4 linked regions of the Coturnix japonica genome follow. The main gene of each other region encodes a partner of the protein of the gene in region 2 in a complex. Links are inferred from orthologs where the notes say so. Each region holds a gene or a part of one and is shown on either strand. Other genes may lie near its edges. The genes, in order: APOO, CHCHD3, IMMT and MICOS13.

Region 1 (5,870 bases), about 110 Mb from region 2:
TTTTGTGTTTATACAGATAGATACTGAAGTCAATACCTCATACAAAGATAAATACTTTCTCCTGCTAAGAAATTCAGCATTACTGTGAAAGTAACTTTTTAAGAACAAATTTGATGTAGGAGACCAGTAACTGTTGCAACACATTTTACGTGTAACCAGCTCAATAGAAATGTGAGATGCATTTGATTTTGAAGAGTTGGATTTTGTTGTGGTGAGTGCAAAGAAACATCAAAAAATACCTGTTAGTTTCTGTTCTCACTGCTACTAGTAGTGCTCCAACTGTGCACCTCTAAGCTGACATCTCTGCTGGTAGTATCAGCTGCTTGTTAGCAGAAGAATTATTCATCAGTGCTGGGATGGTGTAATTCCAAATGTGGAACTCGAGCTACTGATGGCTGCAGTAAGAAGTCAGAGACCTGGATTATGGAAGGAACACGACAGTGTTTAACCAGCGGAGCTATCAACAGTGAAACTCAATTCAATTGGATTACGCTCTTTTTGCAGGATACGTTGATCTGATTTGCCTGTCACCGCTCAGGATTTAGACAGCACCAAGTATGTTTTGGAAGCTGTTAGAACGTGACAAAGTTGATGACACAGCATGTGCTAAAATGCAGAAGTGCCTTTGATGCAGTTCAAGGTAGGTCAGTGGGAAGCCACCAAGAAAATTGCAATAGCATCCGTCCTTTAGTTTTCAGTTTAGTTCTTCAATGTATTGCTACAAACCCTGTAGCTTCCAAAATAGCAACTCTGAGAAGCATTACATTCAGAATGCTTTAAAAAATACTCGTGTTTAAGAATGGAAAGCAAAAGTTCAAGGTAAGTTTAACTCCAAATTAAAGAAAAAAGTTTATAGAAAAGCTATTTACCGAGGAGAGGGAAAGGTGCTGCATGCGAAATTAAACTCTAGCTTGGTACAGATTCTTACCTAACATTAGAAACAGCCATGAGGTGATCGGACCAAAGGCCTTTATTCTTTAGCTTCAGATGCAGAAACTTCAGTTTTGTTTAAAGTCTGACAGCTCTTTGTTCTTCAGGTATTTACGTTTCTATCTGTAATTGCTGTGTAGTCACTGCATATCAGTGAATCACAGAAATATGTATTTGTATCATATATACCATTGATGAATAAAATACATCAAAAAATGTGCCTGCTTTGCAAACTGCCCAGTCACTGCACTGCTCACAAAGCTACCAAAAATACTGGAAACCACCTTTCCAGAAATGTTTGCCGTACTCTGATGGCTTATTTCCCCATGTGTATCACTGACTGCATAAGTACAATTCAATGGTGGAAGAGACCCATTTGTATTCTTTAATCACAGGTCATTTAGACGCAACTAAACATCAACCAACATTTTAGATACAACTCTTGTTAAAGAGGGAATGTTTACAATCAAACCTGTAATAAGAGATTTAAAAGCATTTCTTACGTGCATATCATCTTTCACTTTAGTAATACCTGTTATCTGTTACCAACGCCTGTTAATAGTTTTGGTACTGAAACACATACCACTGGTTTGAAGTATTTCCAATATCCCATTAACTCACAAGAATCACCTGCTGCCTGTAAAGTAACACAGAAAAAGATGATAAAGCTTTAAAAAGATAGGCACAACCTGCAGTCTTCTTACTTCACCTCTTATAGCTCCTGACAATAGTTGAATCTATCACCGAATAAGGACTGTGCTATTTTTACAAACAGCACACTGAGAAGCACTGTCCAGTTCCTATTCAGTTTCCTATTATCCATGCTGAAATTCTCCTGCCACAACTTAAGGCTGTTATCTCTAATTCTGTCATTAGTTACCAGGGCTAAGAGCATCCCGCTCCCAGACACATCGCAGACCCCATGTTGTTCCGCCCACAACATGGCGGTGGCGGATACACGCAGGCCGTGTCGTAAGCACCCAGCGGCCGCTCGGTGATGTGATTACAACGCGACGACGCGTGGTTCTCCATCATAGCTGCGACGCGGTTGGCCGGGGTATCCGCAGCCGGGTGGCACCATGCTCAAGGTGAGGAGCCCTTAGTGGCCGTCACTGCCTGTCACTGCCCGCCCGCGTGTCTGCCTGCTCCGCTGTGGAGCCCCGGGGCTGCTCGCCCCCACTCCTCAGCCTCTCTCCGCGGCCCGGCCCCGCGTTTCCCTCTATCCCTCCTCCGGGTTCCTCAGCCCCAATGGAGCCTCGCAGCAGCGAGGAGCCGGCGTGTCTGCGGGCGGGAGGGAGGGAGGCGCCGGGATCGTCAGGGGGCGGCGCAGCGCGGTGTGTCCGGCAGGGGACGCCCTAAGAGCGGTACCGGATCCCGAGGCGGGCGCGGAGCTCGGCGCTGCCCAATGAGCTCGGAGACCCGCGATACGAGACAGCACGTTATTTATAGCTCATGGCACTGCTATGGCTGTGTTATGGCTGCCCGGGGCGGCTGTGGAGTCACTGTCTTTGGTGGTGGCGGTGGTGCTCTTGTGAGGCCCCATCTGTTGTACTGTGTCCAGGTGTGGAGCCCTCAGTACAAAAAAGACATGGAGGTTTTGGAAAGGGTCCAGAGGAGGGCCACGAAGATGATCAGGGGGCTGGAGCACCTCCCCTATGAGGACAGGCTGAGGGAGTTGGGCTTGTTCAGCCTGGAGAAGAGAAGGTTGCGGAGTCACCTCATTGCAGCCTTTCACATATCTGAAGGGAACTCTACTCCCAGGAGTGGAGTAAACTCTTGGAAAGGGCTGACAATAGCAGGACACAGGCGAAATGGTTTTAAGTGAAAAGGGAAGATTTAGGTTGGATGTTAGGGGGAAGTTCTTCACTAGGAGAGTGTTAGGCCCTGGAACAGGCTGCCCAGGAGGTTTGTGGATGCCCCGTCCTTGGAGTGTTCAAGGCCAGGTGGACGGGGCCCTGGGCAAACCATCATCTAGTAAAGTGTGATGATTGGTGGCCCTGCCAGGCAAGGGGGTTGGAACAACATGATCCTTGAGGTCCCTTCCAACCCGGGTCATTCTGTGATTCTGTGGTGGTGGTGAAGAGCCGTGTAGTTGTGTCAGTAAGGGATGTAGTTAGTGGGCACAGTGCGGGCAGGTTGGATTAGCTGCTTTGTCTTTTCTTAATGATTCTGACATTCCTGATTGTATTTAGCACCTTCATACGCTACGGCAAACATCAGCCTTCCCAGAAGGTACGGTGAGGGAGCCTTTCTGTTGTTTTCTTTCCCGGGCTTTGACAAGCTGATAATAATGATAACAAGTGAAACACGAAACCACAGATGTGAGAAAAAATATGGCACGACTTCTCTTCCATCACTTGTTTTGAGAACTAATATGTGATTTATTCCTCCTGTTGGCATTCTGTGGTTAAGAACTCGGAGGAGGGCAGTATGGAGCTAGGAGGCTGCCTAGAGAGATTGTGGATGCCTCATCCCTGGGAGGGTTCAAGGCCAGGTTGGATGGGACCCTGGGCAGCCTGGTCTAGTATTAAATGTGGAGGTTGGTCACCCCGCCTGTAGCAGGGAGGTTGGGGCTTGATGATCCTTGCAGTCCCTTCCAACCCAAGCCATTCTGTGATTTCATGATCACTGTTGGTCCCTTCCACCTCGAGGTATCCTGTATTTCTTTGAAATGTGGTTATCTTTTCCACTCAAAATTGACTTAGGAATGTTTTGGTGTCTTCAGGTAAACTTTATTCTTTTAATTAGAAACAACAAACAATATATACATATATATTTCATTAAAGTAAATACAGAGCACTGCCCAGACAGAGCCTATTGTACTTCTTTTTTGTATCAACTGAACAGCTGTAAGATAGGCAAACTGAAGGCACAGCTCTACTGAAATGTGACACTAAGTGATACTAAATGAGTTGGTTTGACAATACAAGGTTAATATGGAACTAAGACATGAGGTCCAAATGTAGGCTTTGGAAGCAGGAGGCAGAACTGCTCATCTCTCACACTAGTGAATACAAGATTTATTGTGCTTGTATGTGTATGTGGTATTTGATTATTGGTAGCATCTGTTCTGGGAATGTACTCAGTGTGGAGGGTCATTGCTGTGTAGCTTGGATGGTACATTAAGAAGAACTTGATCTCAGACTTGTGATGGTTAACATGTAAATGTGAAGTGGTCAGACTTCCTGCGCTTCTGTGTTATGATTAATATGAGCAGCAGAAGTTTTCTGTAATGTTTTACTGAAAGCGTATTTCTCTGAATGAAAATGCATTTAAAACCTTTGCCTTTTCAGTGAGAGAACAGCTTTGCAGTGAAAAAAAAAAGGCAAGAATGAGGAACTATGTTCTGCAGTTCTGAATGGTTAGTGGTGTTTGTGCATCTTGGCTAATGGGAGTATGTGAAAAGTCTCTCAGCATCACCACTGCAGATTGATCCCGTCTTTCCTTGGCTCTGAACAGAGCTGCCCCAGTCTTTGTGGTGTTCCATTATAGTGCTGTAATAACGTGTCCGTAAATACAAATACAGAAAAACTTCACCTTTAAGTAAGTTTTTCCGTACCTTTTGATCCATCAGATCCCTCATGTTTTATTCTGAAAGCGATCCTATGACCTGGTTCCTGTGCTGCCTTCTCCTTCATCCCCCTCTGGCCGCACAGCCCTCTGGTGCTTGTCAGCACAAATATGTTCATGAGTAGGTTCAACTTGCTGACCCCACACCAAGCTCTGCACTTGTGCACGACTGGCCAATGGCCAAACGGGTCGGGTTGGTTGCATCATGATAGAGGTGTCTGCCACCAAAACAAGACTGCTGGGAATGGATGCTGCGGGCAGGGCTAGGCTGAGCTGTGACTGCTGCACAACTGAAGCACGGGCTTATCAGAGTAGAAGTGAGAGTATGTGACACTGAGAGGTTACTCCTACAAAGGCAGGCTGCACTCACCTGCAGTGAACAGGGACATCAAAAGCTGGATCAGAGTGCTTGGAGCTCCATCCAGCCTAACCCTGAGTGTCTCCAGGGATGGGGCATCCACCACTTCTGTGGGCGACCTGTGCCAGTGCCTCACCAGAGAAGCTGTGGTGCCTCATCCCTGGAGCTGCTCAAGGCCAGGTTGGATGGGGCCCTGGGCAGCTGAGCTGGTGGGGGACAGCCCTGCCCATGGCAGGGGTTGGGGCTGGGTGGGCTTTGAGATTCCTTCTGTGATTCTGTGTCGTTCCTGAGATTGTTAGAAATCGATCTGATGCTTTCAGTAACTAGAAATAAAATGTTGAATTCTTTGGTACTGAGTGCAGGGGGGAAAGAAAAGAAAAGAAAAGAAAAGAAAAGAAAAGAAAAAAGAAAAGAAAAGAAAAGAAAAGAAAAGAAAAGAAAGAAGAAAGAAAAGAAAAGAAAGAAAGAAAAGAAAAAAAAGAAAAGAAGAGAAGAGAAGAGAAAAGAAGAGAAAAGAAAAGAAGAGAAAGAAGAGAAAAGGAAAGAGAAAAACAGTAAGGGTGCTATGGATACTCATAAAGTTGTTTAAAACATGAATATCATATTGTTAGAATTGATACTAGCAAGGTTGACAGATGTGGGAGAAAACAGAAGATCTCTCGTGAGATGAAAGCTTTTACAGCTACTCTCTCCTTTAGTGTTAGGCTTTTCTAAATATCATCCTAATATTCGAGACGTTATCATATGGGTGCCTGACAGCATTAGATGTTGCACTGCTGACTTCCCCTTCTCTCCTGATTTCCGTGTTAATTTATTGTTCATCATCTACTGGGCCATATATATGGTCTATATGGGTGGGGTGTATTCAGACATGTTTGCGTTCTGTTTGAACTTATGGGTATGTTTGTCTTCCCCTCATGTTTCTAGGTAATTCGGCTGGGGGCCACCCCAGTAAGCCTGAGCTTGCTTTCTATCCAGGTTTACGCTTCCTCTTCAGAGAAGGAAACATCCA
Region 2 (5,355 bases):
TTCTCTGAAGCTCCCTTGACAACATATAAATGCACTGAGAATCCTTAAGCTTTGTCTCCTCCACTCCTCGAAAAAAAATCTATTATTTGAAAAGTTGTGTATAATTCTGCTATTACAGCTCTGAGTTCCCCAGTGTTGGCACATGTCACAGTGCATGCTCATCAGATGTATTTTAATAGCTATCCTATTTATACCTGCACATTTTCATTAAAAAATAGGTGCAGTGTGCTTACATAGAGTAACTTGGTAACAGTTTTGAGTAAAGTTATGTTTTGCAGTGTGTGAATGTTGAGACCTTATTGTAGCCTTCCACTACTTGAAAGGAGCATATAAACAGGAGGGGGAATGGCTGTTTATGAGGGTGGATATTGATAGGACAAGGGAGAATGGTTTTAAACTGAGACAGGGAAGGTTAGATGTTAGGTGGATGCTTTTCACCCAGAGGGTGGTGTCACAGTGGAACAGGTTGCCCAAGGAGGTTGTGGATGCCCCATCCCTGGAGGCATTCAAGGCCAGGCTGGATGTGGATCTGGGTAGCCTGGGATGTTGGCTGGCAACCCTGCACAAAGCAGGGGGTTGAAACTAGATGATTATTATGATCCTTTATAACCCCAGGCCATCCTATGATTCTATGGTTTTCTGGGGCTGGTGGTAACTGTGTTAACTCTGTTGCAATAGGTTTGATTGCTCTTTTCATCTCCTCTCAAATTGCTGGGAAAGGTTTATTCTGATTGTTTCATCTGTTTTCCAGCTCTGTATCAGGGACCACATTTGGGTTTATGGTGTGTCTGGAGACCAAAAACATGATCCCACTGCAGAAAAGAAATGCTGTTTTATGAGGAAGTTGGATGGTGAGGCAGGGAAGAATTTCCTTGAAAAAACTTTCCTTAAAAACAACAAACTGAGTTCTCCTCAAGAAACAGACAGAGCTCTGTGTATACCCATAGTGCTCAAAGATGCTTCATACTTATGAATGATCTGTGCTTGATATGATTTATGAAGTAGTGTCCCTAAGACTTGTGGAATTTGTGTATTTGGATTTTGAAGCTTGAATCTGAAATAATCTGGAATTTTAGGTGAATTCGTGCTCAGCTGTTTTAAGAAGCCTGTAATAATTTGGTACAGGGATTTCTCACAAAGTGATCGTGTTTACATCTCTTAAAATGAACTTAGATAATAAGCTTTTGATGTAAATCTCCCTCTGTCTTCCATAGACTGAAACAAGAACAAGCGTATGTACGTGATGAGTTTGGCAAGATCCTGGAACGAGAAAGGATTTCTTCCAATGAGCATTTGACTCGAGCCATCATTCGTGAGAGAGCTGCGACAGAAGAGGAGCGTCAGAAGGCGCAGCGCTTTGTAAGTCCAGGATCTTGTAGAGTGCTTGGATTTCTGAACATCCATCTCTTCAGACTTGTTTCAAACTATCAATACAAGCTGAAAGCTTATGTTGTCTTGTGATGGCTTTTTTTTACTGGTAAATATTGTCATTTCATTTTACTCTAAATTTTCCCTGTCTTAAGGACAAAAAGAGCCAAACTCTACTGAAGGTTACAAGTGTAGTTTGCCTCCTTGTGCCTGGGATAATATGAATATCCTTCTCTTTTCAGAGGGAGAAGAATAGTATGGTAGAAGACTAGCAGAGTAATAATAGAATATGATTGAAGAATAGTATGGTAGTTTAGGTTAAAGGGAAGTTCTTTACTGTGAGAGTGGTGAGGTGTTGGAACAGCTGCACAGAGAGGCTGTGGATGCCCTGTCCATCCCTGAAGGTGTTCAAGGCCAGGTTGGATGCGGCCCTGGACAACCTGCGCTAGTGTTAAATATGGAGGTTGGTGGCACTGCATACAGCAGGGGGATTGGAGCTTCATGATCCTCGAGGTGCCTTCCAACCCAAGCCATTCTATGATATGATTCTATGAGTCTGTTTACTAACTTGGATTATCACAGAGTTGCAGAATACAAGACCCTCTTCCATAAGTTAATTACTTTCATATTTCAAGGAAGTCCATAATATTCCTCAGTTGAAAACTGGCTGTCAGCAAGGAATCGAGAAGTGTAATTTTGAAGTCTCGTTCATGCTAGAAAACAAAAAGAATTGTCTAACTCTTGTTGATTGCCTCAAACTTGGTACTGGTTTAGTGAGAAATGGCGTATCAAATAATCTTATTTTAATAGAGCTGTTGTACAAAAGCTTCTGGACAAAGAAGTTATAAAATGCAGCTGCCTGTTTTCTTTTGAAAACTGACAACTGTATATTTCAGGCCATTTCAAATGTCTGTCAAATTCATAGCTTCCTATCTAACATTTCCTTGCTATCTTGAGTCTGTATTGAGCTTTCCAATAACGATAATCGTTGTGCTCTGAGATATGAATATCACTTAGGATTTCTTTTAAGGTTGCCAGAGTATAAATGATTAACAGATAGGTGTTTTCAAGAACAAAAGTATCAAATCACTTAAGTGAGCATTCATTTTAAAATAAGGAGGATTAGTTATACCAACATATATATAAATGTTTGACATAAATATATGTTTGACTCTGCATCAAAGATGAATTCAGAGCTTTCTAAGAGCTATTGGTGGGTAAGAGAGGCAACCAGTCACTTCAGTAGCTTTATCTATGCCGTGCAAATACAAATCTATTGCCTCTGCTGTCTTTCCAAACCATTTGTGGTTTAAAATTTAAACAAACTAAAAACAAACAATAAAAATTATTAGATTAATGCTTAATATTTTGTTATTTTTATATCTGGGGGGAAAAAGGAAAATGGAGGGGAATTATGTCTAAGATATAGCTTTAGCCTTATGCCTTTAAACCTTGGGCTGTTAATGTGAGGAATGGATAAAAGTTTTGAGGTCTCAACCTAATGGAGAACCGAAGAGTTATGTTGTGGTTTAATATTTGCTTGACTTAACTTGAGCTTTGCATCTTTGACTTAGTGCTGTGCTTTTGAGAAGTATGTGATGACTTTCTCATCATCCAAATGCCTGAGAGACATCTAATTATGATATGAAATGGGTGTATTTAGCTATTAAGTTAATTGTATCATCAATTTTCACTTATTGCCGAATTTTTAAGGTAGAACTGCCTACCTGAAGGAATCACCTGTGAGGTCTTAAAAGGTCTTGAAGTTCTCTGGTGAAGTTCTCTATATAATTTTGATGAAACTACTGCAATTTTTTGTGTGTTTGTTTCCACCATAGTTTGTTATTGTTTATTCGTCTAATGTATCCACGTTGTATTTATAAGATTTGCAACACGAGGATATGTCTATGTGCTCCATTTGTCAGGTGGGGTGAAGGATCCCATTTGCTGGCTAACTGTGAGAGCTGCTTGATTTTTTTATTTAGCCCAGATTTGATCACATCTGTCAGATTCTTTATTGGAAAAAGAACTGGTGTTTAGGAAATGTCAATAGCATTATCTTCAATGTTAATTCCTTTGCTGCTAAACTGTTTAAATGGTGAGCAGGAAAAGATACGGTAAGACAGGAAGAATATTTTTATATAAAGGCTGCTAATTCAGCTTTAACAAGCAGACATTAAACTGTTAGATATTGAAGTAATATTTCCCGGTCTTAAACCATTTAAAACCAGCTGGTGCTTAGATTCAGACAGGAAACTTTTAAGTATTAGAACACCAAAAATGGGCACTGGCTCTTCATACAGATGAAGAAAATTGGTAAGATGAAGCTGAAGCTGACAGCTAAAGGAGTAGAAGCTTTTCAGGTGATAAGGAGAAAGATGTCATTTGTCTTTTTAAGCAGAAGTATTCCAATTTTCAACAAAGACGTCTAAAGGAATCCATCTGAGCTTGGACAGCAAGTAAAGCAAAGGAGTGTACCCTTAAGAAACCTGGAGATAATTTTTAAGTGAGCAGAATGAGCACATGTCAGGCTAAATGTTAAAAAGCAAACCTCCCAGAATCAAAGAATCATGGAATTACTCGGGTTGTTAAAGACCTCAAAGATCATGAAGTCCAACCGCAGCCTAATCATAGTACCCTAACTCTAACAGCCCTCTGCTAAATCATCTCTCTTATCAAAATATTAAGTATGACTAGAAGGGTTCAGTCACAGAATCATTGACTGTCCCAAATTGGAATGGACACACAAGAATCATGGAGTTCAGTTCCTGGCTCCACACAGAACCAACCCAAACCCAAACCCTACATCTGAGCATGTTGTCCAAATGCTTCTTGAAGCTCTGGGCAACCTGTTTCATGCCCACTGCCTTCTGATGCAGGACCTATCCCTAACACTTCGGGCCCTATCATAGAATCATAGAATGGCCTGGGTTGAAAAGGACCACAATGGTCATCCAGTTTCAACCCCCTCCACCATATGCAGGGTCATCAACCACCAGATCAGGCTGCTCAGAGCCACATCTAGCCTGGCCTTGAATGCCTCCAGGGATGGGGCATCCTCAGCCTCCCTGGGCAACCTGTTCCAGTGCGTCACCACGCTCTGTGTAAAAAACTTCCTCCTGATATCTAACCTAAACCTCTCCTGTCTTAGCTTGAAACCAGGGGGAATGTCACCAGAGAGCAGAATGTGTGTTTGCAAGCCCAGAGTTCATGGAACTGAAATCCCAGCAAGGACTGTAGAGTCAGAATATCACTGGGGAATGGGATCTGTGATCAGGATAGATGAACCCACAGCAGCAAAACAATTCTGAATTAATTCTTTCACGTGTGCCTTTAAAGAGAAGGAACTCTGGAAGCTGCCATACCACAAGTTTTCTTTGCAGAGATTTCGTCAGACAAAGCCATTGATCTGAAGATTCAGTAGAAAACATTAGGGAAAATTGATGGTTTTACCAGCTACAGCTCTTCAAGCCTGGGTGGTATTCATCAAGGCTTTGAAAGAAACTTGATGATAGATGAGCTAATGATCGCTGAGCTACTTACATGCCGTGTAAGCTCTTAGGGGAAACTCTCTCAGTACAAGGTGGGGAATTGGCTGATGGGTTACCAGCCAATGTTTCATACTTCTGACTACTCCAAGAATACTTATATGGTGTTATGCAGGCAGCAGACCTATGTTCCTTTCCACTGTTTGTGACTGGAGACCTTCACTAAGCCTTGTGAATGGTTGAGCTGGGCACAGTGTTGTTGAGTGCCTTTAAATGCAGTAGCTTTGCCATAAACAGCATATTGATGTTCCATCATGATGAGAGCCACGGTGAGACACAGAGAACATGAAGGAAAAGATCAATAGTTATCCAAAGTGCAGAGGACCTGTTGTATTTCCATCTCCTTGTAATGACCTGGAGTTTACTGTTAACATGTTCGCTTCACTGTCTGGACTGAAGCAAGCTGTCATTAAGACCCTATACGTTAGAAAATGGTTTT
Region 3 (5,355 bases), on a different chromosome or scaffold from region 2:
TCATAAGGAAGTTTGCCTAGAAGGGCTTGAGCCATTTTTGCTTAGTTTTCAATTAAGTTTATTGACCTTAGAGTATTTGGAATCTAATATAAATGACTGCACTCCATAGTTCTGCATACAAGGCTCACTTTGGGTGCTGGGCTCTTGAGATATTCTATTTCTTCTTCTTAAGCAACTGCAGTATGCCTTAATTGGGATAATTGCTTGAGCTGCTTGTAAAGCCAGATTAAAAGGAACATAGAGAGTCACAGTTGGCATCTTTGTTCCCTTATCTGTCATGTCAGGTGAAGATCTGCGTGTGTGTAATTAATGCTGTCTCCTTTTCTGTAAATAATAACATGAATGTCCCAATGAAGTTCCTCCAGAGGAAAAACCCAGTGTCTGTTATTTCCCTGTTCTCACTTCAGTGCATGTGCATGTTTCAGTTCTGTAACTGTACTTAACAGCAGGCACAGCTGCAGCACAGATCATCTCTGCAACAGGGGTAGCCGCGTCAGTGCCAGCTCCGGGGATACAGCCTGAAGAAGGTGAAAAAGATTGCACGAATACCACATAGAACATCAAAATCCTGTCGCTTCAAACACATGGATCTGATGCTTAAATAATCTGCTTTTATAGGTAAAGAACATGAGGGTTCCCATGCTATAAAAGAACGATCGCCGGACGAGGTCGCGGCTCGTCTTGCCCAGCAGGACAAAGAGGAGCAAGAGAAGATCGCAGGTGAGCCCATACCTGGAGTTCTGCTACACATGCTGTAAGGGACAAAAGGATTGTTCCCAACCTCTTGTGAGCCACAGAAAATAACGTAAGGAGACACTTGAGATATAATGAATCACTTCAATGATGAGGCTGCAGTTAATTCCAGTATTTTCTTTCCAGCCCTTGCAGCAACACTGGAAGGAGCCCTGAGCTCTACGGCTCGTGTAACACTGCAGGCAATTACTGCACAGGAATCTGCTGTGCAAGCAGTGAATGCGCACTTGCAAATACTGAAGGAGGCAATGGACAACTCGGAGGTAAATTGGGCAGCTGGGGACTTGTGTTCATCGTGTAACTAAGGATAAAGTCTGAGGTTTAATGTTTGTCACAGTTTTACCTGATCTTCCCACTTGGGAAACGTTGTAGGGTTTAATAATAAAGTGCTTCTGCTTTTGACATGTCCCACTTTGTGTAGGACTGCTGCTTTCTGTTGCAGAGGGTATAATGGAGTGGTCAATCACAATGTCAAGGTTCAAAACCACAACAAAAACGATAGAAAGAAGAAATTCTTAAGAGCTTCCAGCTGTGTTGTTATTATCTGATGGGTAATTTTGTACCGTGGGCATTGTGATAACACTAATGATCGATCTGTGCTTGTCAGACTGCTGGGGAGAAGAAATCAGCTCAGTGGCGCACTCTGGAGGAGGCTCTGAAAGATCGAAGGAGGGCAGTGGATGAAGCTGCTGATGTCCTTCTGAAAGCCAAGTGAGTTCTTTGTATCTCCTACCCATACTTAAATACAGTGCTCCTTAGTTCAAGTAAGACTGAAGAAAACAATAACCCATAATCCTTCTAATATCATTTTGGATCATTTGATCATTATTATGCCTATTGTAAGAATTCAATTTGCTGCACTCTGGGTCTGTTGAGTCAATAACATCGTTGGCTTCTCCTAGCTGTGATGTAAAATTAAGTCTTACAGCACTGTTTGTTGGTTCCATTCTTCAGCAGAGCCACTCCTAAGGCTGGCTATTTATTAGATGTGTGCTCATGCATGTATGTGGTTATGCAGTAAGACCTGTATGTGTTATAATCAACAGCTTCATTTCTTTTCAGAGAAGAGTTGGAGAAGACAAAAGGTGTAATTGAGAATGCCAAGAAGGCTCAGATCCCAGGAGCCAAACCTCACATCATTGCTGCAGAGGAAAATCTTCATCATATGATAGTTGACTTGGACAATGTAGTGAAGAAGGTAACACTTCCAGCTGTTCTTCATCATCATTAGAACAAGGACTGATTGGCAGCTTGTGAGACCCCCTTTTTCCACGTCCTTTATAGCAGATCAAGTATTTCTTAGTTTAAATGCTATTTCTAAACACAATTTTCAGCTATAGTCAGTCTTTGAGCTGTGTGTGGTACCAGTGAGTTGTCTTGACAAGGACTTTGCATGAAAAGCCTGAACTCTGTCTTGGAACTCTGCAGCCAGTTTGTTCAGTGTCTGCTCTTTCCTTGGGCAGCTTTCATTTCCTTCTTTCTGATGCTGGACTTGCAGTTCCTTCTGTCTGATGCTGGACTTGCAGTTCCTTCTGTCTGATGCTGGAGTGGAATTAGGAAGATGAGACAAACTATTCAGGGTGCTGATTGGCGTAGTGTCCTCTCACTGAGTGTATCCAGTTGTTCTGGTGGTGGCTCTTGTGCAGGGCATGGGAGACATAGGGTTGGATTGCTGAGATTACTTTTTAACCTTGAAACTTGTTTCTTTGGATCTGGGGCACACCTATAATATTCATCAGGTTGGGGAGGAGTCTGCTGATGACTTTGTGGGTATATCACTTTATGGCTCAGAAAACAGGATGAAAAGTAAAGTTGAAATCATGCCCTTTTGCAGGATAATGGATTGCTCTGATGGAGGAATTTCAGTGGGGAATTTCTCTGAAGTGTGGGAGTACAGAACGCAGTGAGGGTTGGGCAGCTCCCTGCTGGGGCTGTGATGGCTGCATGCTGCTCTGATGGTAGAAAACATTCTGTAATGAAGGTGTAGAGCTGGATATCTCTAAAGGAACATATTGTGTTGGTTTTTTCTGAGCTACAGATTGACTACAGTATTACAGTGTGCGTGTGAAGAAGTGGATCTGTGTAGTTGGGGTAAATAATTACTGTGTATAAGAGGCTTGATGTCACAGGGCAGCTTTTCCCCAAGTGAGGATAAAGATCTCTGCCACTAACTCAGGTTTGATCTCAGATGACTTCAGTCTCCTTGGAAGATAAGCCAGTCTCCTTTTTTGTTTGTTACAGGTTCAGGCAGCACAGTCTGAGGCCAAGATCGTGGCTCAGTATCATGAACTTGTGGCTACGGCAAGAGAGGAGTTTCAGCGAGAACTCGAGAGCATCACCCCCGATGTGCAGCCGGGCTGGAAGGGGCTCAGTAAGTCTGCGGCGATGGCAGTCAATCGTAGAGCAGTTCATAGAGCAGCTGTAACAATGCCTGCTTTCAGGATTCCCTGATTCTGAGCTCCCTGATTCTTTCTAGATAACTGAAAGAGTGAATTCACTGCTCTTTAAATACTTCACTTATCCCAGTGTGTTAGTTCTAAAGGAGAGTGACACAGGAGTTGATCTGGAGTAACAGCCAGTGCTGCACAGAAGCAGTAAATGGCTGCGTGGTGTTTTCCAGCTGCTACAGTTCTTTGCCTGAGGTCTGACATCTGGCACACTCATGTTTTTGAGGTGCTTGGGTTTTTCAGCTGGAGCTCCTTCCTGCTTTCCTTAGAACAGATAAAAGTGAAGTGAGAAATGTGATTCAGAAGTACAGTTAGAATCTTTCTGCCTCAGTAGAGGGATAAATGTATTACTCAGAGTTGTTGGAAGGTTCAGATACCACCACAGTGTGATTGCAGGCAGGCAGGGAAGGAGTCAGGCTTGCAGTTAAATTCTTATGGCTAAAGCAAGTCAGCTCATCCTCTGTGATCCTCTTTCTTAATGGTACTTAATGCTCTAGAAATGTGAATGTTAGTCCACAAACTCATTTTCAAAGCTAAATGAAAACACCAGGCCTGTGTAACACATGGGGTTTTTGTTCTGTAAGAAGTTGGGAGAACTTACTAGGTTGAGAAACTGCAGTTTGCTGTGCTGTCTCTCTTATGTTCAATCTTCTGGGATATTAGTTCTGAAGAAAATGGGATTTGGCATCTGGAGATGGAGCTACCATTTCTAATGCAGGATAAGGGGAGGACATCCTGAGTATTGTGAGCACTGCACTGTTCTGAGAGAGGGAACATCCCGGCAGCTTCCAGGCGTTCAGTTTCACACCAGTGTGACCCTACTTAGTGTACAGGACTGACTCGATAGTGACTCTCACTGCTACCTGGGAATTTGTCTCTTACCCAACTGCTCGTTTGTAAGGACCTGGAAATTCTCAGTGTCCTGTTGCACTTCTTTACTTGTATTTCTCGCTTTGACTGAACCTAAAGGTTCATCTGTGGGTTTCCAAAGGCAGCTGTAGTGGTGGGGATGTTTGGGTTACATCTTGCTTGTAACAAGGAGGGATCTCCGGAGTCTGTTCTTGAACTCCTGCAGCCTTGGATCACTCTAGACCAGAAGCTTTTAGTTGTCCATTGTACTATTGCACGACTGACTGCTGTAGTGAATGTGCATTAACTTCTCCAACCTCTCCTCTTTCTGTTGCAGACATAACTGATCTAGGTGAGTTCCTGTAACTTTTTCTGGTCTTGTGAATATTCTCTCTTTCCTCTTTGTCCTTTTTGATGTTTGTGTGGTGCACCACTTTAATTACATGCACTATCAGCAAAGCAGTGAAAAATATCCCTGCAATATTTCAGACTGGGCTGTGCTTTGGGATCCTTGCCGCTAGTTCTGTATGTGCTGCTTAAACCAGACTTTGTCTAGCAGCTCTCACTTGCCAGGTGAGTGTGGTTTGCATTGGAAAGCCACGCTTCCACTTGCTTTGTGTATTTCAGCCAGTCACCAGCTGCTGCTGAGATCCCAATGGGAAACAGAAATGAATCCATCCTAATCAACAGTGGTTAATTCTAACTGACAGTGGTTTGCTTCAACTTTGGGCCTGATTGAGGCCGGCTCCTGCTGATACCACCAGCACATCTGGGTGCTCTGAGCTGGGTCACCAAACTGAGGGACTGAATTTGGATTTAATCTTCATGATTGATTTCCTCTCTGATTCTGAGGTTGATTTTTCTGAGCTCCTTGGTGGTGCTGCTCAGCTTTTGGGTCAGACCTGCTGCACCAGATAACAAATAGCAACATCTGACTGTGAACATTTGGCCTGGAGAGCTGCTGAACAGCATGAATTGTAGATGTGAATGATTCAAATGAACTGGAGTAATTTTTCTCCCAAGTGCTGGGAAGTTCTTATAGATTTGGTTCGGAAAGGAGCATTTGGGTGGGCTTTACCACCAATCAGTGTCTCTTAAAACGTGCTCACAGGTCAACCATGTATGGAGCCCTGGAGCTCTCCAGGGGTAGGAGGTGGGGTAGCTTCTCTGCAGCTCTTTCTAATAGCGCCTTGTTGTTTTTTAGCTGGGCAGTTATCAACAGACGACTTGAATTCCCTGATTGCACACGCGCATCGTCGCATCGACCAGCTGAACAAGGAGCTGGCTGAGCAGAGGGTCAGGGAGC
Region 4 (4,610 bases), on a different chromosome or scaffold from region 2:
CCCCCTGCAGCTGGATGGAGCCCTATGGATGGAGCCCTATGGATGGAGCCCTATGGATGGAGCCCTAAGGACATCGGTGCAGCCACACACTGACCTGAGAGGGAAGAAACCACCACCACTGAGCCCTGGTTCCTCTCCAGGGCCGGCAGAGCGGCTGATGCCAGAGCAACGTAACTAAAGAAATTGACCTGGAGGAGGAGGGGGAGGATGGAGACAGAGAGAAAATGCTTCGAGTTCAGTGAGAGCTGAAAGAAACAGAGCAGAGCTGAGAGGGAGAGTGGGGTGAGAATGGGAACGACAGGAGGAAAGGAAGGTTAAGTCAGCACAACACTGAGGTGAGTAGGGGAGGCTCCAAAGTATCAGCCTAGAAACACACACACGGTTGCCCTCGGCTGCAGGCAGAGCTCTGAATCTGCCTTCGAGCCCCTCCAGGTTGTCCCAGGAGCAGCAGAATCACAAGAACTGCTGGGAATCCTCACCTGCATGAGCCAGCGGCTGTGCTCCACATCCCCGCCCCACATCTCAAACGGGGAAGTGCCGATATGGTTCAGCACGAGGTAGTCCAGCCCTCCTGCGGGCACAGACAGCAGTCAGTAAATACAGGGGTAAATACAGCAGATATTTGGCTGTGCTGCCATTCTTGTCCCGCTTACCCAGTTTTTGGACAGCGAACTGAACCACCCTGTCGGGCTCTGAAGGTGAAGACATGTCAGCTGGGAGGTAGAAGACTTTCTTTGCTCCGAGGGTCAGACATTTCTCCATCACCTGCGAAAACAGCGCTGTGCCAATGGCTCAATGTGAGGTGGGGGGGAGGAGCAGCGATAAGGAGCAACATCGGGCTGCGGTGCTGCCCCCTGGTGGGAGAAACACGCGCTGCAACAGCGCTGCTGGGCGACAGCAACGGGGGAACCCAGCACAGGGGAACCCACATGGGGTCAGTGCAGGGGATGGCAGCACAAAACAGCCACAAAAGCCCGAAGCCCAAAGCCCGAGTCCCCGCCGTTCTGTTCCCTCCTCCCTCACCTCCCGCAGCGCCGCCTCCCTCCTGGCGGTCAGCACCATCTGAGCCCCATAGGCCGCATAGCGATAAGCCAACTGCTCCCCGATCCCGGCGCTGGCTCCGGTCAGAAGCACGCGGGCACCGGAAAGGAGCTCTGAGAACGGGACACACGGACACAGATACAGACACACAGACGGACACACGGACACAAGTGTGCGGGGAAACGGGGCACGAAGCGGCGGGTGGGGGCGGATGGAGCCGCTGCTGCAGCCGGGGCCGGTTGTGGCCGCGCTCACAGCGGGGGCTGCGTGTGACTGAGCGGCCGTTACCGAGTGTCGGACCGTGATACCTGCGTGGAACGGGTCGTCCCTGCAGCGCAAACACAGCAGCGCAGCCAGGAGCCCCGCGGCACAAAACAGCTTCGTGATGGGAACCATCGTGTGCGGGACGGGACGGGGCGGGACGGGAACGAGCTGCGGGAACGGAACGGAACGGGATCAGTGATGGGGGACGGGGGGAGTCCGAGCGGAACGGGGCGGGATGGAGGCGATAGAACGGGCTGCCCCCCCACAACGGGAAGGTGTCGGACCGGGTCAGGCCTCATCACCCCGTTATCTCGCTCATCTCCCATCATGTCGCCGCTCACAGCGCCACGTTCAGCGGGTGCGGCCCCCACTCCCCGCCCTGCGGCCCCCAGCCCCCTCACTGCCCGCCCCGACCCCTCACCCCAAGATGGCGGCGGCCGCAGCTTCCTACGTGCGCTCGTTGCCGTGGTAACGGTTGAGAAGGAAGTGGTTCTCCACTCTTCCGGTCACGTGAGGCTCCCGGCGGCCCTCGCGGCGCTGCCCTTGGTGCCGTCATGGCCGCCCGCATCGCGCCGCTCATCCGGTCAGTGACCGCGGTCAGACCCGGGATGGGAGGGACGTAACGGCGGGACCGAACCGAACCGAGTCACTGCTTTGGTCCCTGCAGGTTCGCCATCAAGGGAGGCCTGGCCGGAGCCGCCGTGTACGTGTCGTACGATCAGGGGCTGCTGGGCAGCGGGACCGAGGGGGCAGAGGCCTTAAAACGGGCCCGGGAAGCGCTACCGGCTGCGGTGAGAGAATGGAGCGGACACGTGGGATGGGAGGTGAGAGGGAGATAAGGGAGATAAGGGGAGATAAGGGGGGAGATAAGGGGGGGATAAGGAGCAGCATCGGGTCTGTTTGGACCCACAGTGACAGGGAGACCCTGAAGGAACCAGCAGCTTTTCCATATCGGATCCTATTATAAGCTGTCACGTATTTCCCCTCTGCTTTTACTGCAGCTCAGAGCCCAGAGCTCACTGATGCCCATTGACTCTCATTGATTCTCATTGATGCTCATTGATGTAGCACCAAACCCCTTTGGGCTCCGTGATCCCCCTGCCCCCCATTGCTGCCCTTCTTTCTTTCTTTCTTTCTTTCTCTCTGCAGCTCCCACCCGTTCCAACCTTGGATTTCTCCCCCTCGGATTCCTGGAATAAAGGTAAAATCCCATTTCATTATTTGTGGGAAGGGGCCAGTGCTGCAGCTTGTCATAGAACCACACACTGGCCGGGGTTGGGGTTGGTGCCACAAATCAACCTGCCATGTGCCTCCATTGCTGCTGTGCTGTGCTGACTGTCCATGTCCCTTACAGGGGTGCACACGCTGATGTCTGCCCTGTCGGTGGCTCCCAGCAGAGCGTGTGAATACACGGCTCAGGGCTGGAACTACCTCAAGGATCTCGTCAAGTGAGCTGAGCACATCCTCTGTCCCGCTCTCATTCTGTCCGTCCCGTGCTGCTCCCACAGCTCAGCCACAAGGGCTGCAATAAAAGACTTTGAAGTTCTGGTTTCATTGGGGTTGGTTTTGACAAATAGCCCCCATTGCTCCATGCCTTCATAGCAGTAGGTGCCTCAGAGACGACTGCAGCCGTGAACTGTAAACTGTTTTTTTTTTTATTTATGGAAAATGGAATGCTTCATTAACAAACAGTTTTAAATGAGGATATGAACAACACGTTACAAAACAAATGAGTTCACATTGGATCGAGTGACGTCGTATGGCAGCAGCTTAAAAAAGAAATTCCACTTACAGTGACCCACGAGCTCCAAGGGCCGGACACCCCAGGGACAAACCAACTGCAGTTGCCACGTAGCGTTAGAAATTAAAACATTCAGTAGCGACGGTTGAAGCGAGGGTCGTTGGGTCGGCTCGCTCGCTCCTGGCCGGCAAATCCCTCCCCTTGCATCCCCCCTCCGTGCATCAGCTGACTTTGGTTCCCTCCTTGCATGAACCCTCCTCGCCTGCAAAGTGGGGCAGATGGTTTGGGGTTGGTTCTCTCCAATGAAGCACAGGAATATTCTGTCATCCCTTGACATTTCAGTAACAAATTGTGTAACTGATAATCCCCTAAAATTCTCACTTAAATGCAAGGGACTCACCCTGAAAGGAAATGGAAAGCAAAGAAATGCTCTGCTCTTTTTAAGCTTCTTACCCTGACATGCCTCCACGGTGCATCACGTGGCCAGGTCTCCCTCTACCTCCACCTATAAAAGAGTGAGAGTGATTCCTCTGTGCCCACAGGAGCCGTTTTGCTTTGTGTCCATGCAGGGCAGCTTTACCTTGCCATCTCTCGTGATCCCGTCCCATCATCCCTCCATCCACGCTGCTCTGCCATGAACGCTCTTGGTGCCCTTCAAATTTCCTCCCGTGGTCCCCCCAGTCGCGGCCATCCCTGCAGGAAGAGCCTGAGTTACATCTTTGACACCTGGCACTGCTGCAGTGCAGGAGTGAGCTGGAAGAGCCACTGGTGTGCAGGGCAGGGAACGGGCTGAGGAGGGAGGTGTGTGAAAAAGAATCACGTCAAAAAGTGCATTTCCAATATTCACAATCTGCACAAGAACTGACCGTGATGGGGGGGGGATCCCTCTGCTCTCACTCATCCTCCTGTCGGAGCCGTAGCTGCCCCAGCTCTCCCGGGAGTCCCGTGAGTGGCGCTCGGGGCCTCCATGGCGCTCATCTGGGTAATGCTGCAAGGCAAAGACACGTGTGTGAGCGCACAGAACCAGCTCCATCTTTATTTCTTCCTGTTGATCTCTGTGATATTCCTCCCTGCCCAGTTTCTCTCACAATCCCACAGCTCAGCCAGCAGTAAAAGCCACCTCTCACTGCCAGCCCCTCAGGCCACAAGAGCACACCAACACCGACTGAGTTTTGCCACCTTACAGAGTTAATATTATGTTACTTGTGTCTTCTCTGAACAACCTCTCTTACCCCCCCACCTCTCTGACACACTTGTTTGCTGTGTACCACAGTAAATGTACCTGACTTTTATAGCAAGGCAATCTTGTCACTGATAGATACTCCTAGCACTATAATTTTAATTTGAAACTACAGCAAACCAGGCTGTCAGAGTTAAGACAGTTCTACAGCTTTATAAAATCAACTCACTTGTCCATCGCGATCTCCCATCATCGTCCTTGATCCATCCCTCCTACAGACAATTAAAACCAGTGGTTGGAAAACACGCTGCAGTTATTACCGTATCTATATAACAGACAGAAAATCCTCTTTCCATGTACTGCCAGCATTGCCTACAAGAGCCA

Evidence for each region.
Region 1: CHCHD3 (region 2) and APOO share a complex: the UniProt entries of both Homo sapiens proteins name them as parts of the mitochondrial contact site and cristae organizing system (MICOS) complex. The link is inferred for Coturnix japonica from reciprocal best matches to the Homo sapiens genes CHCHD3 and APOO.
Region 3: CHCHD3 (region 2) and IMMT share a complex: the UniProt entries of both Homo sapiens proteins name them as parts of the mitochondrial contact site and cristae organizing system (MICOS) complex. The link is inferred for Coturnix japonica from reciprocal best matches to the Homo sapiens genes CHCHD3 and IMMT.
Region 4: CHCHD3 (region 2) and MICOS13 share a complex: the UniProt entries of both Homo sapiens proteins name them as parts of the mitochondrial contact site and cristae organizing system (MICOS) complex. The link is inferred for Coturnix japonica from reciprocal best matches to the Homo sapiens genes CHCHD3 and MICOS13.

The regions. Positions count from the first base shown.
Region 1 is NC_029516.1:107,450,802-107,456,671, reverse strand, and holds the start of APOO (MICOS complex subunit MIC26), read left to right. Parts: upstream 1-1,915; 5' UTR 1,916-2,009; coding exon 2,010-2,018; intron 2,019-5,785; coding exon 5,786-5,870. UniProt on the Homo sapiens protein: Component of the MICOS complex, a large protein complex of the mitochondrial inner membrane that plays crucial roles in the maintenance of crista junctions, inner membrane architecture, and formation of contact sites to the outer membrane.
Region 2 is NC_029516.1:1,845,253-1,850,607, forward strand, and holds part of CHCHD3 (MICOS complex subunit MIC19), read left to right. Parts: intron 1-1,214; coding exon 1,215-1,359; intron 1,360-5,355. UniProt on the Homo sapiens protein: Component of the MICOS complex, a large protein complex of the mitochondrial inner membrane that plays crucial roles in the maintenance of crista junctions, inner membrane architecture, and formation of contact sites to the outer membrane.
Region 3 is NC_029519.1:77,503,702-77,509,056, reverse strand, and holds part of IMMT (MICOS complex subunit MIC60), read left to right. Parts: intron 1-446; coding exon 447-527; intron 528-618; coding exon 619-720; intron 721-879; coding exon 880-1,016; intron 1,017-1,360; coding exon 1,361-1,464; intron 1,465-1,815; coding exon 1,816-1,951; intron 1,952-2,994; coding exon 2,995-3,124; intron 3,125-4,386; coding exon 4,387-4,401; intron 4,402-5,253; coding exon 5,254-5,355. UniProt on the Homo sapiens protein: Component of the MICOS complex, a large protein complex of the mitochondrial inner membrane that plays crucial roles in the maintenance of crista junctions, inner membrane architecture, and formation of contact sites to the outer membrane.
Region 4 is NC_029543.1:714,861-719,470, forward strand, and holds MICOS13 (MICOS complex subunit MIC13), read left to right. Parts: upstream 1-1,781; 5' UTR 1,782-1,859; coding exon 1,860-1,888; intron 1,889-1,972; coding exon 1,973-2,129; intron 2,130-2,454; coding exon 2,455-2,506; intron 2,507-2,659; coding exon 2,660-2,757; 3' UTR 2,758-2,857; downstream 2,858-4,610. Other genes in the region: HSD11B1L (hydroxysteroid 11-beta-dehydrogenase 1-like protein), read right to left, coding at 95-188, 480-571, 654-765, 1,024-1,154, 1,350-1,437; scaffold attachment factor B1-like, read right to left, coding at 3,179-3,308, 3,500-3,551, 3,627-3,739, 3,913-4,034, 4,456-4,498. UniProt on the Homo sapiens protein: Component of the MICOS complex, a large protein complex of the mitochondrial inner membrane that plays crucial roles in the maintenance of crista junctions, inner membrane architecture, and formation of contact sites to the outer membrane.